7 linked regions of the Sus scrofa genome follow. The protein of the gene in region 5 purifies or fractionates together with the protein of the main gene of each other region. This does not show direct contact. Links are inferred from orthologs where the notes say so. Each region holds a gene or a part of one and is shown on either strand. Other genes may lie near its edges. The genes, in order: POLR3F, POLR3K, POLR2F, CRCP, uncharacterized protein LOC106505238, POLR3C and UXT.

Region 1 (4,113 bases), on a different chromosome or scaffold from region 5:
TAAGGGACATTCTACAGAATTTTTGCCATTCAGGTGAGTTTCTCAAAACTGATAAATTCATCAATAACAAGGAAAGTCTGAGAAAACTGTCACAACTAAAATTTGTGTATTTACATCTACTTACGCAAATAAGTAAATGTAATGTAGTGTTCTGGATAGCATCGTGGACCATAGAAAGGACATTAGGGAAAAACTAAGGAAATCTCAATAAAATATAGACCTAAGAGTTAGTACTGACATATTAATATTGGTTCATTAATTGTAACAAATGTACTCTAGTAATGTCAGATGTTGCTAATAGGGGAAGCTGAGCACAAGGTCAGTGGGCAGTCTGTACCATCTTTGCAATAATTCTGTAAGCCCAAAACTGTTCTGAAATATAAAGTTTGGAAGGCTTTGAAGTCTTAGTTTTGGAAGCCTGTGTTGTTACCTCTGAACCATCTGCTCTGCATGTTTTTTCCTAGGCCTCTAAAAAGAAGGTGTATATGCTCTATAACCTGCAGCCGGACCGGTCTGTGACTGGAGGAGCCTGGTACAGTGACCAGGATTTTGAATCTGAATTTGTAGAAGTGCTTAACCAACAGTGTTTCAAATTCTTGCAAACCAAGGTGAGGCATAACTGAGATCACATGATCACTGTAGTTTTTTTTTTTTTTAAGTTTCTTCACAAGAAATGTTTAATCTTGTACATCATATTTTGTTTCAATTGAAAATATTGAGATTGTTCTTTTTCACTGAACAAAATACATTCTGTTGCTTTCACTCTATATAAACTGTATTTAGAAAACACCAGAATTCTTCCTGAAATTTATGTTTCTATCTTTATAGGCAGAAACGGCAAGAGAAAGCAAACAGAATCCCGTTATCCAAAGAAATAGTTCTTTTGCTTCATCACATGAAGTGTGGAAGTATATCTGTGAGTTGGGGATCAGTAAGGTCAGAACTCAGTTTCTAATTTTATCTTGTTCTTAAAAACTTATTCTTCAGGAGTTCCCGTCATGGTGCAGTGGATAACAAATCTGACTAGGAACCATGAGGTTGCGGGTTCGATCCCTGGCCTTGCTCAGTGGGTTAAGGATCCGGCATTGCTGTGGGCTTTGGTGTAGGTTGCAGATGCGGCTCAGATCCTGCGTTGCTGTGGCTCTGGCGTAGGCCGGTGGCTACAGCTCCAATTGGACACCTAACCTGGGAACCTCCATATGCCGTGGGAGCAGCCCTAGAAAAGGCAAAAAGACCAAAAACAAAATACTTATTCTTCATCACAGGGATATAGTTTACAGTATATTCCAGACACACCTGACACAGACCCTTTTTTCAGGTGATACCTGTGTATATTCTGCAGAACCCATTTTGAGAAAGTACCATTCTAAGCCAGTTAGGCAAAGGCGGTCATTGCCATCGGGCACTTGGTGAACTGTATGTGCTTGAGCCTGGGATACAGGGTAGCAGAGTGGAGGCCTGACAGTTCGTTTCACTGCCAGATTCAAGTCTGTTCTGGCAAGTCTGTGACTCTCTGGGGGACATTTCAACATATGTGCCAAACATCAGTCATCGTATCAGTTGTCACTAATTGGTATTTTCCTCCTTATGAGATGCAAGTGGTGGTGTCAGCACACTCTTCTGAACATCCATACATATGGACAACATCAGAGAAGAAACTGAAGCAGTCACTTGGACAAGTCATTTTCATTTCCTGGGTTGCAGATGTTTCTTTCACAAAAAACCAGGAATTTGGACTATTTGATACTCAACCATTTTATAACTCTCCATCAAATTCTTGCCAAAGAAATGTTACGAGATGTCTGGATCTTACTTAGGAGCGTGAAGATGTCAACAAATGTCAAGCTCAGCATGAGCTCAGTTAACCACCCTCCAGAAGGGTGTCTCCTTGTCCTTGGGTCCTTTCTAACATGTCCCTTTTTTAGGTAGAGTTGTCCATGGAGGATATTGAGACCATCTTGAATACGCTCATTTATGATGGGAAAGTGGAGATGACCATCATTGCTGCAAAAGAAGGCACTGTTGGCAGTGTGGACGGGCACATGAAACTATACAGGGCAGTCAACCCAATCATCTCTCCCACGGGATTGGTCCGGGCCCCCTGTGGACTCTGCCCGGTGAGTTCAAGTGGCATCACTGTACACTTCACTGCCACCAAGTGCAAAGCTGCATAACGTACCAGCAAGCACACCCTAGTTTTCTCAAACCTAGGGTTGAACCAGTGCTGCTGAAGCCTCCATGTAACCTTGAGGACAGGCCTTTAATGAGCAAATGATCACCATACATTCTTAGAACAACCAGGTTAAAGAAATTTGTTTTCTGTTCTTGGTCCCAAAATGGACATTTTTTTTGTTTTGTTTCGTTTGGTTTTGGTTTTGGTTTTTTGGTTTTTTTACTTCTTATTTTTTTTTATTACTCAAATGAATTTATCACATCTATAGTTGTATAATGATCATCACACAAAATGGACAATTTTTTGATGGGAGCAAATCATTTAACCTATGTAGGGAGGGAACTGAGATTTATTGAGAACCTGTCATGGGCCAGACATGTTCGTGAAGGTCTCTGTGGTCTCATTTAACCCTCAGGTCCCTCACAGCTGGCAGTGTCATTTCCCTTTAAGCATGAGGGAACTTAGGCTAAGGGCGCTCTGAGAGCATACAGCTCAGACACAGCAGCCAGGACTCACAGCTAGAAGTGATGTGCTTTCCTGAGGCCTGGCCCACCCACGTTTTCATTTGTTCCTTCCCAGAGAGCTCCTGAGCACCACCCGTGTGCTGCAGGCACTGTCCCAGCCCTCATGGCATTTATATCCTTGGCCTGCTGGCCTGTGTTTTATGATCTACACGCCTAAGCTCTCTATGCCCTGGTTTCAGCTCTCATAAAAATGGCTAACCTGTTGGGAATTCCATTTATCACCTTTCACACAAAGAAGGTAGCTAAACAGGGGGTGTTTGGTCAGTTAAGTCATTTGTGTGTATAGATCTCCCTTCCTGGGCTCTTGTTACCTGCCAGCACCCCAGTGGGCAAATGAACGTGGTTATCTTTATGTGTGTTGTCTTTTTTTTTTTTTTTTTTTTTGTCTTTTAGGGCCGCACCCGAGGCACATGGAGGTTCCCAGGCTAGGGGTCTAATCAGAGGGGTCTAACCACAGCCATAGCAACATAGGATCCAAGCTGCGTCTGAGACCTGCATCACAGCTCATGGCAACGCCAGATCCTTAACCCACCAAGTGAGGCCAGGATCGAACCTGTGTCCTCATGAATGCCAGTCAGGTTCACTAACCGCTGAGCCATGAGGGGAACTCCTTGTGTGTCTTTTTAGGGCTGCGGCTGTGGCATATGGAGGTTCCCAGGCTAGGGGTTGAATCGGAGCTGTAGCTGCTGGCCTATGCCACAGCCACACAAGATCCTTAACCCACTGAGCAAGGCCAGGGATCGAACCTGTGACCTCATGGATGCTAGTCAGATTTGTTTCCACTGAGCCACACAGGAACTCCAAACATGGTTATCTTAATGCTAAAGTGAAAGGTCTCTCACTGACTGATCACAAAGCAAGTCGTGTTTCAGTATGTTCTTACATACAGTCCTAATAAAACCTCTTTCAATTTGAAAGTTTTGTTGTTAATATTGTTTTAAATAAACAGTTGGGGCTGGGGTATTTTATTAGAAATTTCAGTTGTAGTTGATATTAAGACATTATCTGTAATGTAATAATTTTATAAAGTAATAATTTAAAACCTCAGCATTCTTAAACTTTTTAAAACCTCAGTGTTTATAAACTTTTTTCTTTTTTAAAGGTATTTGATGACTGCCACGAAGGTGGTGAGATTTCCCCATCGAACTGTATTTACATGACAGAGTGGCTTGAATTTTAATAGAGAGATACGAACTTTACTGACATTTTGCCAATGAAGTTACATTGGAAGCAAGTAATTAATGACGGAACATCAGATTCACTTCAAGGCAAACTTCAAGATACAGACTCATTGCTATGGAAAAGTATTTTTGAAGACTAAATTTATATTGGTAGTCAACAGAATATGCAACAGGTAAGGTTAGTAGTAAAATCTATCCTTCAATAAATCAAATATTTCTGGAAGACCACACTCTG
Region 2 (4,861 bases), on a different chromosome or scaffold from region 5:
ATCCACGCCATTGACAATGTCATAACCACACTAGTCCTACACACAGGAGTCAGTTTTGGATTCTTGTTTTGGGATTTGGCGTCTCCACCTTAAGGCATTTAAAACCCTGAGAAGGTGGTATCGGATTTTAATTTTAAGTAAATATTCAGAATAAACGCTGATCCACCGAGTTTGCAACTAACAGCTAAATACTTAAGGACAGCTAGTGTTCTAAGTCAAAGCCCCATTTTCTTGGGTGTGCCAACATATAAATAAATGTTTACGAGCGTCAGCTGGTGGCGAGAGAAAGCTCACTGCCCACTAAACGGGAAAGATGGATAACAGGACCCTAAATAAGACGCACTTGGTGTGGCCACTGCCCCCAAACACAAGTTCTCCCTGGACGTCAGCAAATTCATCCACTGCCTGGGCGATGGGGGCCATCTCCTGGCCCCCCGGCCGGGCCACTCTGAGAAGGCTGGCTTTCTGCCACACCGGCAAAGATGCTCAGAACCCGCAGTTCCCTTCCAGCTGGGAATCCGCCCTGGGGAATGAGGTGAGCAGATGCTGGGCAGCGGGGCCACCCGGCCCTAGTCCCTCCAGCGGTGTCCACACTGAGCATTGCAGCACTTGTAGAAGGTGGTCATGGGCTCGTCGGCAGAGCGGGTCTGGAGCTGCATGAAATAGGCCCGAGGATGCTCACACTTGGGACACGGCTCTGGCGTGAGAAAAACAAGGGACCCACGGTTACTTCAAAAAGGATGCCCAGTGTGGCACAGAGGCTGAAGAATCCGACTGCAGCGGCCTGGGTTGCGGCTGCGGCGCGGACCAAGTCCCTGGCCGGGGAACTTGTGGCATGTGGAGGTAGCCCAGAAAGGTCACGGTCATAAGGCAGTAAGCCACCTCAAGATTCGAAATCAGGTCTGAACAGCTCCAAAGCTTGTGCCGACACTGGTTTTGGAACAAAGAAAGTATCAAGGAAGGAGTTCCTGTTGTGGCGCAGCGGAAACGAATCCGACTAGGAACCATGAGGTTGTGGGTTCAATCCCTGGTCTCACTCAGTGGGTAAAGGATCTGGCCTTGCTGTGGCTGGGGTGGAGGCCAGCGGCTGCAGCTCTGATTAGACCCCTAGCCTGGGAACCTCCATATGCCGTGGGTGGGGCCCTAAAAAGCAAAAAACAAACAAACCAAAAAAACCACCACATGAATAAATAAAAATTTCTAAGAAATTATTAAGGAAGAAAATATAGACTTCCTCTTCGCAGAAGCACAAGCAGACTGCCACGGAGGGGCAGAGTCAGCAGCCCCGTACCATCCACAGCTCTGCCCGGGAACAGGCCTCTCCCTCTCACCTGCGGTGGAGTCGACGTTCTCCCAGGCAGCTGCTCCACCAAGCACGTCATCCACTTCTTTCAGCTTTGGGTACTTCCGATTCGTTACCTAACAAACAACAGCCACTCTTCAGTCTCTCCAACTGACTGAACCGCACACCCCAGGATCACCTAACCACACCTGCCCGCAGGTGTCTGGCTTCTTCCACCCTTCAACCCGGACGGGAGGGGTACTGGACAGGCAGAGGCCCTGCTCCATCAGAACTTAGAGGACCCATGATTGGACTGCCCCAAGAGAAGGTCTCTGCAAGGACTGGACAAAGCAAGAGGAGCAAGAGAAGCATGGCTCGGGTATGGCCCTCCTCTTCTCCCACACCCCCTAAGGCTGGGTAGCCCGAGACGAGGCCCCAGAGAACTGAGGCCAAAGAAGGGCAATCTCAGCCGGGGAGCCGCCCCCCCCCCCCAGGCTCCGGGCAGAGCTTTCTAAGCACTTGCCAGGTTCTACCAGCCGTCCTTGACCTGTCGGGGTAGGTAAGAGTCCACCCTCCGCGTCGTTTCAGACCCTAAACTCCCACAACACGGCCACATGGCAGGACACTATACAAATCTATACAAATACTAAGGAGAAAGTAGCACTTGGGAGTTCCCTGCTGGCTCAGCGGGTTACCGCCCTGGTTCTGTCCCGGTTCTGTCGCTGCTGTGGTGCAGGTTTGCAGGTGTGGAAAGCGACATAAGCAAAAGAAATCTTGGTGACTCCATTTTGCTGAAATGCCTTCCTGCAACCCCCCCCCCTTCCCTCTTCTCCCAGTAACAGTTTGTTTCAAATTAGCCAACTGGGAAGAACGTGCACCCTGACCTGACCCACGGGAAGGGGACAGGGTACATCCCCTGTGTTAGGGATAAACAGGGGAGGGTCCTTTGTTCGGGGCACGCGCACTTTTTGGGGTGCCCAGCGCCCTTCTGCAGCAGTAAAGAGCCTTGTCGAGATCTCCCCGTGTTCACGTGCCTCATTTTTCGACAATGACGATCCGAGCCACGTCCCCAGCACAAGGAACTTGTGCATGCCAGGGTGCCGGGGGCGCGGCCAAAACAAAAACTAAACAAACAAAAAGAAAGAAAGAAAAGAAAGTATACTGGAAGGCAGTGAGCCCTATATGAAAAATAAAACTAGGGAACGGAAAGGCCGCATTTATATAAACAATCCCTTAGGTAAATACAGGCAGGAGTGACAGGAACGAGTGAGTCCCTAGGGGAAGAGCGACTAGAACAGAAAACTCCTGCACAGACCCTGGAAGCAGCGCCTTGGGCAAGACCGGGGCGCCTCCGAGAGGCTGGCGGTGCGGGCAAGAGGCTGCTGGGACGCGAAACCCAAGCAGAGGACGGAGCTAGGGGAGGTGAGGGTCAGGGCCTGGCGCGCTCCGCGAGAACGACGGCTGCGGCCCTGCGTGCCGGGAGGCCGGCGCGGACCCACCTTGCGGGTGATGTTGTGCACATAGGGGCAGGTGTTGCAGGCGAAGCGGTGGCAGCGCTGACCCTCCTCCACAATCAGCCCGTTCCCGCAGCCTGGGCAGAAGAGCAGCATCACGACAGCCCAGCCTACGCTCCCTGCAGCTCCCTGGCCGTGGACTCCGGGGGCTTCCGGGCGCCCCGAACTCCCCATTGGTCCCGGCGGCCGCCTCTCAGCAATCAGCCCACCAGTAGGCACGTCGGCTCCGCACTCCCAGTGTGCACTGCGGCAGGCTGGCTCCCAAAGCATCATTTCTCATTGGTCCTGGCGGTAGCCCCGCCCCTCGACCAAAGGCCGGGCCGTGGGTGGCTTTCCCCGCGGGAAGCCCGGGAATCCCGGGCCCGGGTCGCGAGAGGCGGTGTGGGGGCGGAACCCGCGGGCTGCGAGGCGCCCTGGAGGTGGCGGGGGCCTCGGGACGGCCAGAGCCGCAGGAGGACGAGGAGGATGAGGAAGAGGCACTGCCGCACTCCGAGGCGGTGGACGTTTTCCAAGAGGGTCTGGCCATGGTGGTGCAGGACCCGCTGCTCTGCGACCTTCCGATCCAGGTGCGCATGGGTCGGGGCCTCTTCCCCCGCTCCGGAGCCCAGCGTCAGGGAGAGGACCGATTCTGGGGTACCGATGATGGCAGCGGCCCGGAGACCTCCAGAAGCGGCCTCAGGGCGTAAACGAGGGTCTAGGCTCCGACTGGGCCTGGGAGGCGAGCGAGGCACTGGTCTCCGGCGCGGCATTTACGAAGGGTTCCCTGGTAGTCTAGCGGTTAAGAACTCCGCCATTGTCACTGCTGTGGCTCGGGTGCTGCTGGGCGTGCGTTCGACTGGCAGAGGAACTCTCGCATGCTGCGGGCATGGCCAAAAAAAAAATAAAAAAGGAGCGCCAAAAACCCGCTAGTCAGGACACATGACATTTCAGTATAGTGTTTTGGTTGGTTTAGGAGGTTTTTTGTTGTTTCGGCTTTTTGTTTTTGTCTTTTTAGGGCCGCACCTGGGGCATATGGAAATTCCCAGGCTAGGGCTGGAATCCGCTGGCCTACACCACAGCCACAGCAACTCAGGATCCAGAGCGGCATCTGCGACCTTCAACACAGCTCATGGGCAACGCAGGATCCTTGACCCACTGAGTGGGGCCAGGGATGGAAACTCCAGTACAGTGTTTTTAAAACTCAACATTGGTTTATAAAGACCTAGGGTAAACAAAATGATATCATGTCAGATAAAAAGACCAGTATTAAAGATTTCTGGAGTTCCCATCATGGCTCAGTGGTTAACGAATCCGACTAGGAACCATGAAGTTGCAGGTTCGACCCCTCCCTGGCCTTGCTCAGTGGGTGAAGGATCTGGCGTTGCTGTGAACTGTGGTGTAGGCTAGTGGCTACAGCTCCGATTAGACCCCTAGCCTTGGAACCTTCATATGCCGCCAGTGCAGCCCTAAAAAACCAAAAAAATGAAAAATAATAAAGATTTCTCCATTCTCCTCAGGCTTCAGTATGACCTGGCACACTCCTGTTTTTAAATCTTTGTATTTTGCCCATCATGAAAATGTTAAATTAGTTTGTTTTCTTGATAGTGGTATTCGTCTTCTGTTGCCCCGGTAAATGTTGCACCCCTGCCCCAGCCTTGCCTGGGGCCCCAGGGCCTGAGGGTTTTTTTGGGGGCAGGGGGAGCCCTCCCAGGCTGGGCACTCAGGCCCAGGGCTGCCCCTCCCATCCAGCTGCTGGGCCGGAGGAGCAAGGGCTGCTCCTCAAGGAGGCTGTTTCTCTGCTCTCCTCTCCCGGGTCTCCGCCTCCTTGGCAAAGGTGACCAGGACTTGAGATGGAGGTGCTGAAACACTGGGACCCCCCCTAACCCGTAGGCAAGAACGTTCCCCAAATATGGTACCGCTTTGTTTGAATGATGGGCTGGTTCTTCTTCCCTTTTGTTTGGGGCGGTGAAGCAAGCTCCCGCCCCCAGCCTGGGTCTCTTCTAGGTTACTTTGGAAGAAGTCAATTCCCAAATAGCCCTCGAATATGGCCAAGCGATGACAGTCCGAGTGTGCAAGACCGATGGAG
Region 3 (3,476 bases), on a different chromosome or scaffold from region 5:
GCTGGCAGCAGAATGGAGGTCAAGGCTAGAACAGTCGGGGAGCCAATTTTCTCTTCTATCCCTGTTGGTGTCAATACACACTCTCTTCCTGTCGTGCCCCCTCCCCGCCCCAGAGGAGAGAGCAAGCGGCGTCACTGACTTGGTCAAGAGAGTGAAGAGAAAAGGACCCATCAGAACCCAGGGCAGAGGAACGTGACCTCCAGTCCAGACTTAACTTGAACCCAGAAGCCCTGCTTCCCCGCCCACCTTCACCCTAGCATCCATCCTAGGGAAGGCCTTGCAGGACCGGGGCCCCACATGGACGGGAAAGGACAGCTTCCAGAGGCTGCGAGGGAGGGTATGGGTGTGGCAGACCCGAGGGGTGGGTCACAGAGGACAGTGTGTGGGCAGTGGCCTACGGAGGGGGGACTGAGGGGGCAGGTGGGCAGGTGCTCGGCCCTCGCTCCAGCTGCTGACTTGGCCGGCAGGGCCCTTTCGGGGAGGGCAGGAGATCACTGCATCCCCAAGCTTCCTGCTGGGGCACTGGCTCCTGAAAGGGGATCCGAGCCCACGATAAGAGGCTCGAGGCAGGTCCTCAGGAAACAATGGGTGGCTTGATGAGACCTGCTCTGTGATACTCCTGAGAAGGGAGAAGCCCCTGCAGCCAGTCCCCACTGGAAAGGAAATTGGGGGTTTCCGTGGCAACCAGCTCCCTGGGCACAAAGGCTCTTCTGTCTGCCAGGAAGGCAGCTGAGGTGTCTCCTGCCGCAGCCTTTGCTCTGGTGGACAGCAGCGAGATGGAGGGAGGGACGGGGGAGCCCCAGGAGACCAGGGCCCCTGGTGCTTCCTAAAGGGCTGACAGTCCCGGGGCCACTGGGATGGGCGCACCCTCCAGGCAGCAGTGCTGTGTCAGGGAAGGAGTGGGCGGGCTCACAGACAGCTGGAGGCAGAGGGGGCTGAAAGGTTGAAGGGTTTATTATTTACACGCGTAAAGAAGGTGAGACTGAACACTGGGGCGAGGCACCGTCAGGAAGGTGACTGCAGCTCAGTCGCTGATGATGAGCTCGTCCACCCCCCAGTCTTCATAGCTCCCGTCAGGCAGGTAGCGGCGGATGATGATGGGGATCTTTCGGGCCCTGCGGCGGCGAGAAGTCAAGGTACGTGAGGGCTGCTGACCCCGCTCTGCGGCACAAGGACGGGCCATGCGGAGGACGCGAGGCAAGAGACGTCTCAGGAGCATCCTCCTGCGACCACGGGGGCCCCGGGCAGGACAGGGATCACCACCCAAAAAGCTCCTGCGTCGCTGAGCAGGGACGGTGGGTCTGGAAGGGCTCCGCCCTCCCGCGGCTGAAGCAGGAGGGAGAGCGGAGGGCTGCGCAGTCGGAATGGGGCAGTGCTGACAGACAGGCGGGGGCCACGCCTCAGCCATGTCCTCCCCTCCCCCCTGGCCGGCGCCCTCCCCGTCCCCCTCCCGCCAAGGGCAGAGCCCGAATAAGAACCACACCTCCCCAGCAGGGAAGCGGGGAGGGGAGTGCAGCAGAGAACCCAAGGGGTGGCCCCTGGGCTCTGGAGCAGTGAACCGGGACCTGGACGACTTACTTGAGCTCTTTCATGGCGATGAGCAAGGGATCTGTCTCCCCCTCCAGCTCCACCATCACGGGGGCACACATCCTGCAGGTACAGGGACAGGTGTTGGGGGTGACTACAGACACGGGGAGAAGGGCCCAGCACCAAGTCGGGGTGAATGTGGTCAGCACACCAGGCCTCACCCAGAAAAGGCACCTGCCAGGTAGGTGGGCAGGGAGCGGCGGTTCAGGGGCACCGACAGTGAGGGTCCACGGTGGGAGCCAGCAAACCAGACTGACCCTTCGCCTCCAAGGACAATGTTTTTCTCCCAATCTCAGCATCCTCATTTGAAAATGAAGACAAAGAGTTCCCATCATGGCTCAGCGGTTAATGAACCCGACTAGGATCCATGAGGTTGCGGGTTCAACCGCTGGCCTCACTCAGTGGGTTAAGGATCCAGTGCTGCCATGAGCTGTGGTGTGGGTCGCAGATGTGGCTTGGACCCTGCGTTGCTGTGGCTGTGGCGTAGGCCAGCAGCTACAGCTCCAATTCGACCCCTAGCCTGGGAACCCCCATATGCCGTGGGGGTGGCCCTAAATAGCGAAAAAGATAAATAAATAAAAAAGAAAGAAAGAAAGAAAATGAAGACAAAAAGGCCTACACAACAGTGACGGTGAAACTCTACAGGCTAACAAGCAAAGACTCATACATGCCATCTGCTGCCCTCAGCCCTTCACCTAGATTATTTCATCTGAGCCAAGTCCTACTGGTACTTCCATTTTATTGACGAGGAAACTGAGGCACAGAGAGGTCAGTAACTCGCCCAAGGCCACACAGCCAGTAAGTGGCAGAGCCAACATGTGAACCCCAAAGGCTCCCCCTTACTGTGCTGTAACACCTCCCGCTAAAAGCTGGAGACCTTGAATGGAAGGTATCGTGAAAGGGTCAAGTGTGAGCCTTCATCACTGGGCCCTCTGACATTCATCATGTCAGCTCCCCTGCCAAGGATGTTCCCCAGAGCCCATCACAGACTCCTGGGCCCGCGGCCACAGCAAAGCATTCCAGCACAAAGGACCAGCAGGTGCAAAAGCTCCCCCTTCTGACTCTTCTAACACAACCCCCCGGCCCTGCCTCAGGGCCCAGCTCACCTCATCTTCCTTCTGTCCTGGCATCAACCCCCACAAGGGGCCTGCTCCTCTAGCCGTTAAGGGCCTGCTTACGACCCTTCCGTGACACCCCACGGCCATCAGGCAGAACCCCAGTGGCTCCTGCTCACCTTCTCGGGCTGCTTGCCGGCATTGACGCTACCTTCCAGCACACCAGACTACGTCCATTCCCTGGACAGCCTCCGGTTTCCCTTCTGCATCCTTGTACAAGCTCCTCCTCTCCCTAACAGCCCGTAAGATTCAAATGTCTCCACTCCAGAAATCACTTGCTGAATCCTCAAGAGTCCTGACTGGTTTTACACACACTTCTCTTGGCACCAGTATCACTACACTGTGCCTACTTGTCTGAAGTTTTCCAAATTAGACCTGGTGGCCCAGGATCCCATGTTCTAGCATAATACTTGGCTCACAGCAGAGGCTCTAAAAACAAACAGGCACAAACAATGCCAGTTCTAGGCCCACTTCCTCCAAGAAGCCACCCTTACTGATCCCAGCTTAAGTTCACATGAATGGGTCCCCATTCTGCTAAGTGTCGAAATTACTAGGAGAGCATATGCTAAATGTACAGGTTCCCAGGTCCTTCCCCAGACCCTCTGAACAGACTCTAAAATAACCTTCCAATTTCGTTACTAAATATTTTGATGTCTGTTACTCCCAAAGCTTGAATACATCCCGAGGGCAGAGAGCGAGTGTTTAACTTTCCCTGTATCCTCTCTCAGCAAGTATACAAACTTCCCCCAAATTTAAAGCTTTCAAGTATGTGGC
Region 4 (4,113 bases), on a different chromosome or scaffold from region 5:
GTCTTTTTGCCTTTTCTAGGGCCACTTCCCGTGGCATATGGAGGTTCCCAGGCTAGGGGTCCAGTCAGAGCCGGCCTACACCACAGCCACAGCAATGCCAGATCCGAGTTGAGTCTTCAACCTAGACCACAGCTCACAGCAATGCCAGATCCTTAACCCACTGAGCGAAGCCAGGGATGGAACCTGAAATCTCATGGTTCCTAGTTGGACGCGTTTCAGCTGCACCACGACGGGAACTGCTTACGTGTCTAATTTTAAAAGTGTGTCTTTGAGGATTGTTCCTTTTTCAGTAGAGAAGTTATGTGGAGCCTTTGAATCTTTAGAATATGGTCGTTTTATTTCACAGCATGAGGGGAAGTAGCTTCCTTGGTTCACTCTGGATCTTTACTCTGGAACATCCAGGAGTATTGGCTAGTTCTGGAAACATTTTTGGACTGAGATGAGTGAAGAGGCCAGTGGTTTGCTGGGAGTTTGATCTTGGGCACATCACCAGACTTCTTTAGCTTCTGTACTATTGTTTGTAAAGCTAGGCAGTCAAACTGAAGTCCTTTTTAGGATCATAAGCCTAGCTTGTCATCATGCTTTACTTAAATCTGCCAGGAATTCTTTCTGGAACGCCTTTTGATCTTAGTGGCCAGATTTCAGAGATTGTTAGGGGAAATGCCATAGGCTAGGACCCTGGACATCTTTAGCTGAGAAAGTGGTTTGTGATCGATGGCTCATGCCACCAAGTGAGTGTGGTTAGGTAACTTGACTGCCTGCAGGCTGCTTTTACAAAAGTGGTTGATTACATTATTTTTTTTGTTTGTTGACCTATTGAGAATTAGAGATGAGGCTAAGAAAACTGGCTTGTGATTGTGGATTTCATCATCTCTATGTTCGGCTGCCCAGGAGCACGTCAGAAACTGGGTTCGAAGCAGACCTTTGATGGGGTCGAGGGAGATTGTTTCCCAGCTGTCATTCACGGACTCCTGTTCTGCATTCTCCTGGCCAAGGCCATGCGGCCTGTGTTAGATTGTAGGTATTAGAGATGGGCAGGCCTGGCTTGGGATTCTGCCCTTTGCCAGGCTTGTCGTGAGGTTTAACAGAAATAATGAGCATGAAGTACTAGGTGCGACGCTGCACTGGGCACAGGAGCTCCCTAAAGGGCTGTTGTCAGCAGTGATAGTAGTGGGGATTAGCAAAAATATATAAAGCATTTGGCACATAGTGGGCGGTCATCCAGAGAGTTGTTGATACAGTTTATAAGTTACAGCTGTGTTGTTGTGAAATTACCAAAGTATATAAGATGCCACTTCGCTCCCCAGAGGTGGGTTTTCTTTGCATGTACAACATTCATGTGTGTATGTGGATGGGTAGAGAACTGTTAGGGATTGCTTTTTCTTTCAGGAAAAAATGTTAACCTGCAGCTTGCTTTTTTCACTGACCCTTGTGGAGCATTCACACTGGCTTACTCTGGAACTTGAGCTGGCTTCTCCCATTCATGAAGATGGAGGACCTGGACACCAGGGGTGGCTCAGGAGCCAGGCCCTGAGCCCCGGGCCTAGACCAGGAATAACATGGGTGAAGAGGGCGAGGCTGGGCCCCGCCATCGAGGCGTCTCTGTAACTCCTGGAGGGTTTTCTTTCCCTCTGCAGATGGTGGAGGAGAGCGAAGAACGGCTGACAGAGGAGCAGATCGAAGCTCTGCTCCACACCGTCACCAGCATCCTGCCTGCGGGGCCAGAGGCTGAGCAGAAGACACATACCAGCGATGACGTGACAATGGACGAAGAGGACCCGGCCTAGAAGAGCACCGTTGGCTCCAGGGTCTTGTGAAGTCGAAAGGCCCAGCAGCCATTTCCCAGACATTCAAAGGACTGTTTATTTGGTTTTACCTTCTGTCCCAACAGGCCTGATTTTGTGGCTGGTTTGGTAAACCACAAAAATAAGCCTTCCTCAGAAAGAAGCTAAAAAGAAATTCTTGTGCTTTGGAGAAGAAACCTGGTAAAGACAGGCTGAGGTAGTGGTCAGGGCAGAGAGCTAAAGAAAGGAGGACAGGGTCGAGGAGGACAAGGACGTGGAACCCCCTGTGGTAAAAATCCTTCCATGGTCTTTGGCGTGCTCGGGGCAAGGTCCTTGTGCATAGCTGGTGGAATACTTCCTTGTTGCCTTTGATGGGCTCTCGCCTAATTAATTCCATCTGCTTCCCTGGGCGGCTTCCCTGAAGGCCGCGGAGCACTGTTGGGATGAAAGCTGAGTTAGGAGAATCCCAGTAGAGGGCTAAAAACACGCAAAGCAGCAAATGGTTGCTCTGAGTTAAAATCAGCTACTGACCTTGGCTTACCTCAGAGGACTCCTTTCCTTGCGAGAAACAGAGATAAAGGAACAGCCTGGCCATCCCTTCCTCAGGCCCCTTTCCTCTGCTGGCGTGGGCCCTGTGAGCTGGCTCCCTAGTTAGTCCGAAGTGTTAGAGCGCCGGCTCCCTCCCGTTGAAAAGAGGCATCCAGGCCGAATGACCACGTCGCCTGCCTTTCTGCCCACCTTCGGTTTCCTGCCCCGTGACAGGCGCTGCTTGTTGAGGCCAGCAGGTGAGCTCCATGTGCACAATGGGTGCATTGTATCTTTTTAAAGGGCACAGTTAATGTCTCTCTTTTTGTGGACAGAATATGAAGAGGTAGAGGTTGATTAATAAGACTTTAATTTTGTTGGCTCTTGCAAGGTTGCATCAGTTTTTGAAAATTTAAAATGTTAGAATAATTACCATGTGAAGAACTTCTTAATGTTCATGCTTTGGAGAGTGTCGTAGCCCCAGACGTGTAGTTGCCCTTAGGTCCTAGGAATAGTGTTAAAAATTAATTCCCCCGTTCACTCTGCTCCCTATTTGGGGAAGAAAATGCCCATAGACATTAATTTTTCAAATTGGTACTCGTTTTGTTGTACGATTACATATTTTCCGTGCTTCTGTTAATTGGATTACTTCCCGCCTCTTGCTATTCCCAGGTTATTTCAGCCTCCCCACCACCCCTGCCAGCTGGCAGTTACGTTCATCTTAACCTTATCTTCTAAGGATGACTTGAGATCTGCTCACAGGCAATGTTGACATGAACAGGGCATTTATTTTTAAATCTTCTTCAAGTATCAGGAATTTTACCAGGAGCTATTGATTTGTCAAGACACGTATTTTGGTGCTCATGTCATTGTTGTTGCATTTTTGAGGTGCTTTTTTTCTTCATGGATTTAAGGCTTGATTAGTTGATGATAAATTGTTTCCAGGTGACTGCCAACTTGTGCTGTTTTTATCTTTCAAGAGTTTATTTTGCCTTGATTAGGAAAAAAAAGAAATCTGACTTAGAAAACATATATAAAATATATACATGTTAGTATTTTTCTTAAATTGAATCTATTTAGATCCGAGAATTTAGCCTCAGCTTCTGATTAGGTCAGACTTACTCTTTATAAGAAATATGGTCTGTGTAATATCCCCATCACATTAATAATCAATATTTCAGAAATAAAAAGTTGTAATTTACACAGGATCACATCTGGGAAGGAGAGCTGGGAGACTGGGAGACTTGCTTTTTTATTTTATATCCTTCTGTATGGTTTTAATGTTTGACCAGGTGATTGTTTTATTCTTTAAAAAGAAAAAATGTTTGTTTGCATGTTATCCTTGGTCTTTGTGAAAGTTAATAAATGCATTGTCCGTAGTTAAATTACGTTCCGAACGTGGAGGCTGACACCCAGTCCGGTCACTCTGGGAGACACAGCACTGAGGGGAGGTGATCTTTCGAGAAGGTGCTCCTGAGCTCTTGAAAAATGAAGTTGATTCCCAGTTAGTGGTTTATCCAGATAACCTCCTTGCCTCTTTTTGCTTCAGAGTTTTTGGATGACCCACTGCCAGCTCAGGGGACTTGCCATTTATTCAAGGTTCATTCCTGAAATAGTGGGTACCATTTTCCTAATCAGTTGTTGTGTAACCATATCAGCCCTCAAGAGTTTATACCCTAGTGAGGGACGAGTGAGTCAATCCTCCAGTATATTCTTCACTAAATCATTTTTTCCCCTGAGCCAATTTATTATCAATTTTATAAATGGATCATGCCTCAGTAAACTGCATATAAAACAGATCACA
Region 5 (4,113 bases):
TTCTCCTGGCCCCGCTTCCCCGGGGAGCGGCGGGCGGCGCCTCCTGCGCGGCCGCCCGGCTTGTACGGATGCGGTCTGTGCTTCTGCCGGCCTTCCTCCTTCTGGCTCTGGCTTTTCGCAGGCTCCGCACTGGCCTCTTTGGGTTCATGGTCTTGCTCCTTGTGGGACGGCAGAGTGTTCTTAATTGTGTTAATGAGAAATCTCTTATTGGTACCAGCAAGAGGACACTTCATCCTGGGGGGAAACAGGACAGGCACACATCAAACACTGACTCCAGAGCTGAGCCCACGGAGCAGCAAAGAAAGCGGCTTCCACAGAAGCAAGTTTCCCGACTTGTGAGCTTCCCTTGCGTGCCACCTAGTGTAAACTCCGAGTACAGGGCAAGGAGAGCCTGCGGAGACCCGCGGGCCCTTCTCCCAAGACTTCAGAGGCGACGAGCCCCGACCCTACCAGAGGGTGTGTACAGGTACTGACCACAGCGCCGACTGCCTGAGTCGTTTAACACTGTCTCCTTACACCCCAAGTCCCTGATTTGACCGTCATCCGCATTTCGAGTTAAATTTTGTGGCGGCTTGTTTTTAAATATCAAAGAGCAAAAATAAGTCCCTCCCGGAGGAAACGAGCTACCGTAGAAACAGAAGCTGTCTAAAGACTCCATGAGGCTGCAGTAACCTCATTCACCCTCTGAAAGGCTCACACTTTCTGCTCTGAGACTGTGTGTTGAGTTTGCCTTGTCAGCGAGCCTTTTCCCACGTCCACCCCGAGGGAGGTTCTGTGCTGCCTCCGTTTCAGTGGTGTCATGATTCAAGTTCACCCGGAAGGAAGGGTGCAACCAGGCACAGCATAGTTTACATGCTTTGCTCTGCTTGCACACTCAGGATGTTTGATTTTTCAGGTGTAGTAAATCTTTCATTTTAGGAAAGACAACCCCAGACAAATAAAACCTGAGTATTTCTCTTGGCCTTGAGCCATCTGCCTGTACGCAGGGCTATTTTAGGAGGATGCTGATCCTGCAGATGGTGTTACTCAGGGAGGCTGGTGTTGAACAAAAGTGAATGTAGGCGTCCGTGATCTCCATGCCTCTATCAAACTGCGATTCAAGGCGAATCCCACGTAACACGGGCACGCACTGCAGTGACTTTCTGGCCTGCCCTCGTGGGGGAGAGACCAAACTGCTCACCAGCCTAGTGCCCCGTGTTCCGAGGTCAGGCCCCCTCAGGCAACCAGAATGGCACTGAATCTGGAAGGAAAAGGAGGAGGAGAAAGACAGGAAAATGTCTCCTGCTGCAAATAAGCTGTCTCGCACCCAGCAGGTATCAGGCGTGGCAGGCGTGGGGCTCGGAGGTCGAAGCCCGATGTCTGGTGGTGGCGGCCCTGGGGCTTTGGTTTGCTTTCCTTTTCCGGCTGGAGTTTAAAAGCCACAATGAATGAGGTAGGAGCAAAGAAGAAAGGCAACAGCAAAAGAGCAGAGAAAATGCTTCTGCAAGGACAGGACACACACTGTTGGACTCCCTGCAGCCCCGAGGGCTTCACTTGTCTTCCAGAAAAGTACACTGGCTTGATGCTGCCTCAGGCATGGCCAGGCATACAAGGCATAGCCAGGTGTGCCCTGCAGAGGTACAGCCCTAGGACCCTCTGTTCAGTTAGGAGGGCCAGCCAGCCTCTTCCCTCGGTGACCAGGTTAGGTTATCACTGAATTCAGGCATCGATGGGGTGACGATCCTTGAGCCACCGCATTGCAAACTTAGCAAAAAATCAAGAGAGCAGGACGCACTGGTGTGTTATAGCAAACACAACCTCAGTAGCCTGCGGGAGGAGGCTGCCCTTCATTGTGGAACAAAAGAGCAGGAAAAGCCGAGCGGCCCTCTCTGCCAGCTCTGGCTCAGGCTTCCTGCAGGACCACCATCTCCCCTGGGCGTGGCGGGCCAGCCGGGGAAAGCCAGCCGGCTTCAGAAGAACCGTGGGGCGTTTTCAGTGCAGTGGCTCATCAGGGCTGGAAAAACTGCTCAGCTCCTCTCTGGAATAAATGAGTAAGGAAGGGGATTATTGCCAGGCGGTGCAATAACCCAGGATCTTAAAACCTTTGGAAACTGCTGGTGAATTGGACGTGTTTCACCACCTTCCACATGAGGCCATCTTTAATACCACGTGTGCGCCTGAGATGGAGTGCGGTCTTCTTCAGCTGGAAAACTGCAGGCTTCGTGCTGAGAGGGGGCCATGTGTCAGAGGAGGTGTCCTGGCTTCCTGCTGCATGTGTAACCCATCGACTCAACATGGGCACCAAAAGAGCTATTCTTTTTTTTTTTTTTTTTTGGTCTTTTTAGGGCCACACCTGTGGCATATGGAGGTTCCCAGGCTAGGGGTCTAGTCGGAGCTGTAGCTGCTGGCCTACAGCACAGCCACAGCAACGCCAGATCCTTAACCCGCTGAGCAAGGCCAGGGATCAAACCTGTGTCCTCATGGATGCTCGTCAGATTCATTTCCACTGAGCCATGATGGGAACTCCCCCATCTCCAGCATCAAGCCAGTGTACTTTCCTGGAAGACAAGCAAAGCCCTGGGGGCTGCAGGGAGCCCAACAGTGTGTGTCCTGTCCTTGCAGAAGCGTTTTCTCTTTGCTGTTGCCTTTCTTCTTTGCTCCTCATCTCATTCACTGTGGTTTTAAACTCCAGCCGGAAAAGGAAAGCAAACCAAACCCCCAGGGCCGCCACCACCTGACGTCGGGCTGCATCCACCACACCCCACGTCCTTTTCCCTCTAGTCAGATTTGTTTCTGCTGAGCCATGATGGGAGCTCCAAAAGAGCTATTCTGGAATGAGATGGTTTTCTAGAAGAAAGTCCACAAGAAAACTGGCTTTGACATCTCTTTAACATCAGAGATGCCAGTGTTGGGAGAAAAAAAACAAACAAAACATCAGAGGTGCAACTTTTAATGCTGGCTGTGCCTGGGGTTCTATTCAAGGTGAAACGTGGAGGATGGCTTGGCGAGAACTCGGTTTTCTTGGAGTGGGGTATGAAAGCGACTCTTTCCAAGCATGTTGGTGCAGGACGCATCTTAGAGATGAAGAAAAGTGCCCGCCCACACGCATTAATAAATGGGGGGGCAGTTGCGGGCGACTGAAGGGGCATATGTAGTAAATGGCTCCACGCTCGGGCATTAAGAGACGGAGCGTGAGGCTGAGGAGCTCACTGGCAGGGCCGGCTCAGGCCTTTAATGTGGCCATCAACTCACCGCCAGCCAGTGGATTGCTGCAAACCCCGTGCAACACAGTTTATCCACGTGCTCTGGAGTCATGCGATCCACCAGACCGAGCCCTGGGCCTGGTAAATCATCTTCCGTTGCCTCTCATCTTTTAATAGTGGATAATAATGGAGACGGTTTGGGAGGCTTGGATGCAGCTCAGAGGGTGAGGGCATGCGCTCAGGACAATGCCCGATGCCTGACAAGCACCTGGTAAAGTGTAGCCCTTTAGCCTCAGTAAAACGTGTCCTACTCCCACAGCCGAATTAGCTTGGGGCCAAGGGAAGGTTACATCAGTTTTCTCTTTGTAAACAGAAGTAACAGAAGCGCCTCCCTGTTGCGAGGATTTAAGGAGATGGTGTCTGAAGCGCCTTGCACAGTGCCTGGCACGTAGTCGAGCTCCGGTGAGTGGTACCTCCCGACCTATGATTTCATACGCTTGTTCTCAAATTTAAAAATCTCTGAAAACCAAGTTCTTTGTTTGACACCCTCAACTCATGAGGCAGTCACACCCGACCTGTCTAACCTGAGGCTGGGCACCGTGTCTAGTCTGTGGCCCGCGTCGGGCAGGCATTCCTGTGCCTTGCTGACGAAACGGGAACACGTTCCACCAGCACCACGCAGGCATTGGTTGTGTGCGCCGTCTGTGCTGGAGTGCCTTTCTAAAGCGTGGAGATAGTTAACTAGAAACGTCCCCGGATCCGAGGGCTTTAACCCAGGGCTTGGGAATCTGTATTACTAGCTCTCTCATGATGAGAAAGAATACATGCAGCCCTCAAGTCAATCTATCAGGGATTTGTCCATGATGGAAACGCAAGACTACTAAGTCTCAAGCCACCTAGGATGATAAGTTAATCAAGAACGGACTATCTG
Region 6 (4,584 bases), on a different chromosome or scaffold from region 5:
CCAGGGTCTGAATTCTCAGTGGCAGGCACCAAGGGGCAACGCTGCACGAAGTGTGTGTCTGCTAGTCGCACAAATGTGTTCGATACCTCAGCATAGTCCATGGTCTTGCCATCTGTACAACAGGAGGAAAGAGGCAGGTGAGATGGCCTCAGACAGCTAAGGGGCCACTCCTGCAGCCAGCCAATCTATGCTTTTGCTAACAGCTGTGGGTACAGTACTGACCCTCCATAGTCTCTGTGAGCCGATCTGCTACTTTCTTCACAACAGCTGACATTGTCATTTTGCCGTTCAACAGCAGCTCCTCAACAATCAGCTCTCCAGTGTCACTGTACAGCGTTTTGGCAGTATAGATGTACCGGGGATACCTAAGCATTCGCAACACCCGGCTGCACTGGGCTTCATACTCCACCACACCACGTTTGTGCACTTGATATATCACCAGGTTATGCTGGATGAGGACACAAAGGGCTTTTTTAACCTAGAGAGGACACAAAAGAAAGAGAAAAAAAAATTGGAAAATGCAGTTCATTATTGTTGGCAATTTCTGTCCAACAATTTACTAAACTTCAGGAGATGGCTGGAACCTCCGTGCATCTTCTCTCTCTCCATTGGAATAGCTGTTAAGAATCGCATTGTTCATCTTATGAAGAAATCAGGAGGATTCCTAGCTCATATTTCCTCTGATCTTTATCTTACAAAGTACAACTTACTTGCTCTCTGTTACTGCCATTCCTTAAAGGTAGTGCTGAAATTAATAGACTCATCATGCATGAATGAAGTATGGCAAATGAAAAGCACAGGTTTGCCTAAGAAGCCACAGTGAGCCAGATCGCTTTGAGAAGCAGAACCTTAGGCACTATGTCTCATCCTCTCTCCCTCCCAATGACACTGTTCTGATCTCAGTGTAGCTCTCTTTTGTATTTTGTGGGGTGGGGAGTAGTAATATTCAAGGGTAGGTAAAGGAAACTAATGAAATAAAAGCAAATTAGTGTGATCCAAACATACCTGATCCAGCGATGTTCTTGTGTCATGGGCAATAACTCTTAGTGGCTGGCTGCCAGTTCTGATTAGGTGGACTCCAATTTTTTCTACAATCTCTCCAAAATGCTCTTGCAGCAATAAAGAACACAGTTTAATTTCTGCTTGAGTCATTGTACTGAGAAGTCTCAGACCTGAGAAAAGAAAAGAAAAGAAAAGAAAAAATAGCACGATGGGAAGTTTTTCTTTTATGTTGGAGTAGAGCTGCTAAGTGTAAATTCATGTACTTTTTGGAGGGCAACTTGACAGTAGATACGTCAAAAGCCTTAAAATCTTGCATATCTTTGACCTAATACTTTTGCTTTGGCTATTTTGTTTCAAGCGAATAATAATGATGTCACTTTAGAATACTGACATTCCAGAAACAATATAATATCTAACAATACGGGATTATTTCAATAAATTATGGTAGACTCATACAATGGCATACTACGTCTATGTTTACAATGAAGTGTAACATGTATTAGTGTACAAAATTGTTCATTAAGTGAAAGAAGCAGGTTACAAAGCAAAATGTAGAAGAAACTTAAATTATTGTGAAAAAAAAACCCCCTTTTTTCTTATAGGTATAAGAAAAAAAAGACTGCAAGACAATATATCAAACTTATCCTTATGGGATGTACGAGTCCAATTTTCTTTAAATATCGTGTGTAGATGATTTTATTTGGAGGAATTAAGGACACTATTCACAGCCTATTGGGAGTGAACAGGAAGTGTCATTCCCAATCCGTAAGAAATGACAACTTTGCAAAATAAATTAGGAGCGTCTCAACAGAGTGTTTCAAACAACAGATGAAGCATGTTGTTGGCAGGGCAGTATTCTGAAATTTCTACTCCTTGACAAAGTAGACACAAAAAGAAACAAACATAGTTGACTATAAAATCACTTGTTGTCATAAGTGCTACCACACACTGGTCTGTTCATTTATTTCTCCCAATCCCTCAGAAGCCAAGACTGTGTCTTTCAGTCTCAGTATTCCCACTCACAGGTCTTTGGGGAAGTATCCCCAGACCATCTGCCATCCTTGATAAGGATTTCCAAGGAACCTGGCTCCTGATTCTACACTTCCTTCCCCCAGGTTCCGGTTCCGGACTGGGTCCCTGGGTCTAGAGAAACGGCCTCATTCAGACCGCATTTTCCACTAACCTCTGGGTCAATGCAATCTAAAGCCGCCGCCGACCTCGTGCGGCTCCAGCCAGCGGCTCGAGCAGAAGGCACCCCAAGGCCCTTTTGCGCAGGAGCCCGGCCAACGAGGAGGGTCAGCAAAGAGGAAAAACGTGTGCCGCTCTACCCCAGCGTTTCGGTGGTTTCCGGGGACGCTCTTGCTTCCTTCTCGCTGGGAGGTTGGAGGACCGGCGAGGGGTGTTAGAGGAGCCGGCGGGAGGGCAGCGCCGGACGGACTCTCCTTCCTGTAGCTCTTTGGTGCCGGGAGGCGGGCCGTGGGGTCGCCGTCCTCGCCGACGCCTTGTGGGCCGGGCGGGCTCACGTGACCCGCGCGGACTCTGGAGCGGCCAGCTGCGCTGAAGAAGCGGCGGCGGCGGAGGCAGAGGCGTCTCTTGTAGCCGGGAGGTAGCGGCCTGGGGAGCGACGGGCCGGCTGCCCTCTCGGACGGCGGCGCCGGGAGAGAAAAATGGCGGAGGCCTCGGCGGCCGGGGCCGGCGCAGGCGCCGCTGTTGCCGCGCACCGGTTTTTCTGCCACTTTTGCAAGGGCGAGGTCAGCCCCAAACTACCGGTAAGAGTGTGTGTCCTCTGCACGCCAGCGTCCGCGTGGGTTCCTCGTCCGGATGTCCCAGAACGGCGCTTAGGCTTCCCGCACAGCCCCGACTCCCCTGACATGGGTATCCCAGGTACCTGCTGCCCACTGTCTCCTAAACCCCGGGCGTCCGGGCTGTGTGGCTCAGTAACTCCCGCCCAGCCTTTTTTCCATTCGGATGCTCCACCTGTCCCTCACTCTTTCCCCTTTTTACCTGCCCTCTATTATTTTTTTTTTCCTGGTTTTCCTTAGCAAGTTTTCTGCTGACCCCCTCCTCTCCGTTTTCTTACATTCTTCTTCACCTTGTCTCTTTCCACAATGACCTCCCCCCCCCTTCCGCTGTTGCTTCTCATCTTTATTTCCTTTTCCACTTTTCATCAGATCTCCCCTTCCACTATCCTCATTGAAGCAATATAGCGGATTGCTGAGGATTGTCTTTATTCATTGTCTCTAGGGAAGGAGGGAAGAAAGCGGGGCGGGGGGGGGAGGGAGGGTTGGAAGGTAACTGGGCAGAGAGGGGGATTTTACTCTTCAGGGGTTTCCAGCGTTCTTGTGAAAGTGAAAACAGCGGTGTACTAATGACTTGCGGACTGCGATCCCAATCACTGTCGAAGGAAATGGCTTTAGGAAGAAGGCAGAACATATTCTTTCAACTCTCTTATTTTGGTTGTCATGCTGCCAGTATCTTTAGCACCACCTGCCTTACCCGCCCCTCCTTCCCCTCCCCCATTCTCTCTCTTCACTTAGTGAGAAGATCTAGGACAGAATGTTGGGGACTGCATCCTCTGACGTAAAATTGGTTTTCGTCAGTTTCTGCCAGACTGTGTTAGCCCCTAGAGAGGTAGTGCTGTTGGCTGTGGAAAAAAAGTGCTTCTGCAGCATGCTTGCCAGCTATTGCACCCCAAGCCCAGAGGCTGTTTTAGGTTGAGTTACTACTGCAGGGAGATCCACCAGGGTGAATGTTAATCCTACCTTTGGCCAACCATCTTTAGAACTAGTTATGGTTGTTCTTTTCCTTAGAAGTATCTTTGTTCAGCCTTAAGAGGGTGTCTGTGTAACTACTTATCTCAGTGTTTATAGTGTCTCAGATACAATCTGTGAGAAAGCCTATTAAAGTGTGTCTCTGTGTCTTAGTTCTTAGAAACACCAGTGGAGTCCAGTGAAAAGTGCCTAAACAGTATTTTAGCCTTTTCACTTGAGTTGTGCTTTTTCAGGCTTTTGCTGTATTTTCTTTCTTCTCTATTTGCCCCACCCCTAACTTCATGGTCGTAGTTTCATCTACACGCTCTTTTAGTTTTGCTTGGATGATTTGGCTGTGTGTCTGTGTCTGTGTGCTTTTTGCTATACTTCAGTGCTGAGAAGAGCAGGTGCCGTGGCTTGTTTGTTTGTTTGTTTGTTTTTCCAGTGGACATTGGAGGCTCCAGAACTCTTCCTTACCACAGAGAGGGAGTCTGGAATTCAGCCAGTGCATGTGTGATGAGTGACATGTTGAATGTGATGCCCTAATGAACAGTGAGGCCTTGGCTATTCTGATCTTTAAGTTGCTGTTCACCGTTTGCCTTTGAGAGTGAGAAAACAGTCTAACTTTCCTCCACTTACTGTATCTTTTCTCCCTACCATCTCAAGTCCTCACTTCAAAGTGCTCTTGAAAAGGGCTCATTTGAAAGACTTTTTAGGTGTTTTTCTAAGCCTTAGTTTGATGCCTGGAGGAGAAGTCATTGATCTTTCTAGTCTGATTTATTATCTGTCATGCCTGATTTGTAAATTGAGGCATAACACTTTTAAGTGTAAC
Region 7 (3,358 bases), on a different chromosome or scaffold from region 5:
AACTCCACGCAGCCCAGCGGAAGCAGGACTTGTATAGAAGTACACAGGCTAGCAGCCCCGCTGGGAGGAGGTCTGACCAGGGATCTGCGGAGGCGGGCAGGCTAACTCTGTGGCGATTGGCTAGAAAAGACGAATTTAGAACGAAGCAGAGGAAGGAGGGCAGGACAGCTGCCAGACGTGCGAAGGAGTGTTGAGTGGTGGAAACGAAATGCCTACAAGGGCAGGGTCGAGCTGCAGCCAGTAATAAAGGGGTGGAACCTGGCTCTGTATCGATTGGCGGAAGCTGGATTCAGCCTAGAATGAGGACCGGACCAGGGAGGGCGGGCGAGATCGGCCCTGCGCCCATTGCTGGAGCTGTAACTATTTAGAAGCTGGGACAAGGCCAAGGTTGGGCCTAGACGGGCGTGGGTGTAATTTAAGTTACCTGAGGAACGATTGGAGTGTGGGAGAAGGGTAAACTTTAGGGCCAGGAGTGAAAGGTTGATTGCCTTAGGGAACAAACCGCCACCCTGAATCGGCCCGTTCTCTATGGTTAATTCAAGCAGTAGTGCACAGGAAAGGAAATAGAAAGAAGGGTCAGGTGGGGGCCCAGGTTGCCAAGGCGATGGTAGAGAGGGCAGAGCGGAAAGTCAGGTGGCACATTCTGCCAGGAAACAGGCTGGAGGCGGCACTTCAGTGGTGCTTTAAAGATTCTACACAGACTGGATCTCTGCGCCTCCCAGTAACATTGTGCTTTAGAAACGGCACTTTAGCCAACAGCAGAAGTTAATGGGGGAAAGAAGGGCCACGTGACTCAAAGACATTCAGGCTCTTTAATGTCAAGGGAGGTAGGAAGAAGTCAGTGGCGAGGCTCGGGGAAATTCTGCAGACCTTGTAGTTCTCTAAGCCCCTGAAAAAGAGAACAGAAGAGATTGAACGGAGACTGGGTCCAGGCCCCACCTCAGGCTTGCTTGGAACTCCCTTCCCTCAGAGCCAGCCTGGTTCCTGTCTGACTCATTTGGAGGGAAAGATGGCCCTTCCCATCTCTGGCTCTCTCCCTTCCTCAGGACACCACCCTAAATATTTGGAGATAGAGTCTGGGAGTGGGGTGAGCTGCTCTCACCTCTAGCAACATGTGGATATGGGCCTTGATATTCATGGAGTCCTTGGTGAGGCTGTCGCTGAGCCTGGAGAAAAGAAACGAGAAAGGGCGAGGTGGGCCCCACTTAGGATCCGTGAGGATGATGTGCCCTCACCGCTTCAAGAACCGCCTAAGTCCTGGATGACTTCCACACGGCAGGTGGTGGGACCCCTACTACCTGGCCTGCTCCTAGGCAGACATGCCTGGCCGCCATCTGCACTACACTGATTCCAAGACCTTTACTGAATGCCTACTCTATGCCAGGTTGTTTTAGGTACTGGGGAGATAGCAGCAGACATAGCAAACGAAAATCTCGGCCTCTTGGAGCTCAGATTCTCATTAAGGGGGACAGATGATGGAGTAAAATATGGAGTATGTCAGATGGTTAAAATTATAATGAAAAAAAAATTAAATGAGAGAGGATATGGGAGTACAGGAGTGGGGGCTGGAATTCGAATTAGGGTGCTTAGGGATGGCCTCACTGAGAAGCGTTTGAGTAGAGACTTAAAACAAAGAAGCGAGTCATGTGGACATATGGAGGATGTGTGTTCCAGGCACAAGGGGTGGAGAGTGCAAAGGCTCTGAGGTGGGCGCGTACCTGGCATGTCTGAGGCCCAGCGAAGAGGCCAGTGTGGCTGGAGAAGAAAAAGTGAAGTGGGGAGGTAGAGGAGGCGAGGTCACGGAGGTAAGTGGGGGAGATAGTTCGTGTAAAATCTACCAGGCCATGGTGAGGACTCTGGCTTTGACTCTAAGTGGGATGGGAGCAAGGGGAGTATTGTGATCAGAGAAGGGAGGTCAAATGACTAGGGTTTCAGAGGATCCATCTGGCTGCTGTGTGGAGAACCGACTGGGGATAAGGACAGCTGGTGTGGAAGAGGAAGGCCACTGCAGAGGCTGTCGGAATCGTCCAGGTGAGAGATGCAGACTCGGACCGCAGTGGCAGCGGTTGAGGGGATGAGAAATGATTGGAGCTGGGATACTTCTTTGAAGGTAGAGTCAATAGGATTTACCAAAGGAGGATGTTGGATGCAAGAGAGAGAGGACTCAAGGAAGACACCAAGGCTTAAAGCAACTGGAAAGCGGGACCACTCTGGCTCTGGGCTGTTGAGCTACGCCAACCAGCCCATTCCTACCTCCTGACATCTAAGCCAACTGCGACCAGGCTCACCCAAAAGAAGCCTAAGTGATGCAAAGGATAAAAGAAGGCCTTTCTGAAGAATGAGTAAGAGTTAAACAGGACAGTCTTTCACAAGAAGTCCGAGAGGCCGGAAAGAGCTTCTAGAGGAGCAATCAGGAGGCCAGTGTTAGAAAGTAAGTGAATGGTGGAAGGAAAGTGGCACAAGATCCAAGAGGTAGGCAAGGGCTAGATCATGCACGGTCTTGATATCCTGATAAGGAAGGTGGATTCTATTGTGCCGAGTTATCCTGTCAACGTAAGAGTCAGTTTTGGGGAAACTAAATACTGTTAAGAAAAGTAGAAGGCAACGACATAGGATGTTAAATTGGAAAAAAAAAAAAGAGTGTAAACTCATTTATGTATCACTATCTCCCCCCAGTTTTTCTATTTTGGCTCCCCCGCAGCATATGGAGTTCTGGGTTAGGCATCAGATCCAAGCCACAGCTGCTATCTATGCTGCAGCTGCAGCAACACTGGATCCTTTAACCCGCTGTGCCGGGCTGGGTATCGAACCTGCAGCCTGGTGCTGCAGAGATGTGGCCGATCCTGCTGCACCACAGCAGGAACTCCACTATCTCCCAAATTTGTATTTTCTTCTTTGGCTGGGGTGGGGGCATGCAGAGGTTCCCCGGCCAGGGATAGAACCTGTGCCACAGTGGCAACCCGAGCCACAGTGGTGACAACACCAGGTCCTTAAATACCAGGCCGCCAGGGAACTCCCCAAATTTATATTTTCAGTCCAGCCCTCTCCCCCGAACTCCAGCCTTGGGAGTTTTAATTACATCTTCAGAAAATCTACTTCATTGTTTAATAAGCATCTTACACTTACTAGGTCCTAGACTGAACTCCTGATCTTGCCCTCCAATTCCGCTCTTTCACTGTCTTCTCCATCTCAGAAAACGGCAATTCCATTCTCCTAGCTGCTCAGCTCCAAACCTAGACTCCGCTTTTTTTTTTCCTCACATCCCATATCCAATCAGGCATTCTGTTTAAAACTGCAACTGGGAGTTCCCTTTGTGGCTCAGCAGTTGACGAACCCAACTAGGATCCATGGGGATGCA

The links.
Region 1: the proteins of uncharacterized protein LOC106505238 (region 5) and POLR3F purify together in Homo sapiens (affinity purification with mass spectrometry; 3 studies listed by BioGRID and IntAct, with this or other methods). This does not show direct contact. The link is inferred for Sus scrofa from reciprocal best matches to the Homo sapiens genes POLR1D and POLR3F.
Region 2: the proteins of uncharacterized protein LOC106505238 (region 5) and POLR3K purify together in Homo sapiens (affinity purification with mass spectrometry; 3 studies listed by BioGRID and IntAct, with this or other methods). This does not show direct contact. The link is inferred for Sus scrofa from reciprocal best matches to the Homo sapiens genes POLR1D and POLR3K.
Region 3: the proteins of uncharacterized protein LOC106505238 (region 5) and POLR2F purify together in Homo sapiens (affinity purification with mass spectrometry; 4 studies listed by BioGRID and IntAct, with this or other methods). This does not show direct contact. The link is inferred for Sus scrofa from reciprocal best matches to the Homo sapiens genes POLR1D and POLR2F.
Region 4: the proteins of uncharacterized protein LOC106505238 (region 5) and CRCP purify together in Homo sapiens (affinity purification with mass spectrometry; 5 studies listed by BioGRID and IntAct, with this or other methods). This does not show direct contact. The link is inferred for Sus scrofa from reciprocal best matches to the Homo sapiens genes POLR1D and CRCP.
Region 6: the proteins of uncharacterized protein LOC106505238 (region 5) and POLR3C purify together in Homo sapiens (affinity purification with mass spectrometry; 3 studies listed by BioGRID and IntAct, with this or other methods). This does not show direct contact. The link is inferred for Sus scrofa from reciprocal best matches to the Homo sapiens genes POLR1D and POLR3C.
Region 7: the proteins of uncharacterized protein LOC106505238 (region 5) and UXT purify together in Homo sapiens (affinity purification with mass spectrometry; 3 studies listed by BioGRID and IntAct, with this or other methods). This does not show direct contact. The link is inferred for Sus scrofa from reciprocal best matches to the Homo sapiens genes POLR1D and UXT.

Annotation. Positions count from the first base shown.
Region 1 is NC_010459.5:26,732,698-26,736,810, forward strand, and holds part of POLR3F (DNA-directed RNA polymerase III subunit RPC6), read left to right. Parts: intron 1-464; coding exon 465-608; intron 609-828; coding exon 829-936; intron 937-1,925; coding exon 1,926-2,117; intron 2,118-3,799; coding exon 3,800-3,877; 3' UTR 3,878-4,113. UniProt on the Homo sapiens protein: DNA-dependent RNA polymerase catalyzes the transcription of DNA into RNA using the four ribonucleoside triphosphates as substrates.
Region 2 is NC_010445.4:41,569,882-41,574,742, reverse strand, and holds the start of POLR3K (DNA-directed RNA polymerase III subunit RPC10), read right to left. Parts: upstream 3,015-4,861; 5' UTR 2,971-3,014; coding exon 2,782-2,970; intron 1,420-2,781; coding exon 1,332-1,419; intron 698-1,331; coding exon 570-697; 3' UTR 1-569. UniProt on the Homo sapiens protein: Core component of RNA polymerase III (Pol III) which synthesizes small non-coding RNAs using the four ribonucleoside triphosphates as substrates. Can mediate Pol I proofreading of the nascent RNA transcript.
Region 3 is NC_010447.5:9,904,426-9,907,901, forward strand, and holds the end of POLR2F (DNA-directed RNA polymerases I, II, and III subunit RPABC2), read right to left. Parts: intron 1,651-3,476; coding exon 1,579-1,650; intron 1,116-1,578; coding exon 1,025-1,115; 3' UTR 934-1,024; downstream 1-933. UniProt on the Homo sapiens protein: DNA-dependent RNA polymerase catalyzes the transcription of DNA into RNA using the four ribonucleoside triphosphates as substrates.
Region 4 is NC_010445.4:16,583,885-16,587,997, reverse strand, and holds the end of CRCP (DNA-directed RNA polymerase III subunit RPC9), read left to right. Parts: intron 1-1,637; coding exon 1,638-1,787; 3' UTR 1,788-3,694; downstream 3,695-4,113. UniProt on the Homo sapiens protein: DNA-dependent RNA polymerase catalyzes the transcription of DNA into RNA using the four ribonucleoside triphosphates as substrates.
Region 5 is NC_010453.5:5,085,371-5,089,483, reverse strand, and holds part of uncharacterized protein LOC106505238, read right to left. Parts: intron 235-4,113; coding exon 1-234.
Region 6 is NC_010446.5:99,491,031-99,495,614, forward strand, and holds the start of POLR3C (DNA-directed RNA polymerase III subunit RPC3), read right to left. Parts: upstream 3,108-4,584; 5' UTR 2,772-3,107; coding exon of another isoform or gene 2,670-2,771; 5' UTR 2,186-2,669; exon of another isoform or gene 2,142-2,185; intron 1,178-2,141; exon of another isoform or gene 1,173-1,177; 5' UTR 1,153-1,172; coding exon 1,006-1,152; intron 479-1,005; coding exon 223-478; intron 113-222; coding exon 1-112. Other genes in the region: E3 ubiquitin-protein ligase RNF115, read left to right, coding at 2,670-2,771. UniProt on the Homo sapiens protein: DNA-dependent RNA polymerase catalyzes the transcription of DNA into RNA using the four ribonucleoside triphosphates as substrates.
Region 7 is NC_010461.5:42,175,349-42,178,706, forward strand, and holds the end of UXT (protein UXT), read right to left. Parts: intron 1,167-3,358; coding exon 1,103-1,166; intron 890-1,102; coding exon 839-889; 3' UTR 794-838; downstream 1-793. UniProt on the Homo sapiens protein: Involved in gene transcription regulation. Acts in concert with the corepressor URI1 to regulate androgen receptor AR-mediated transcription. Together with URI1, associates with chromatin to the NKX3-1 promoter region.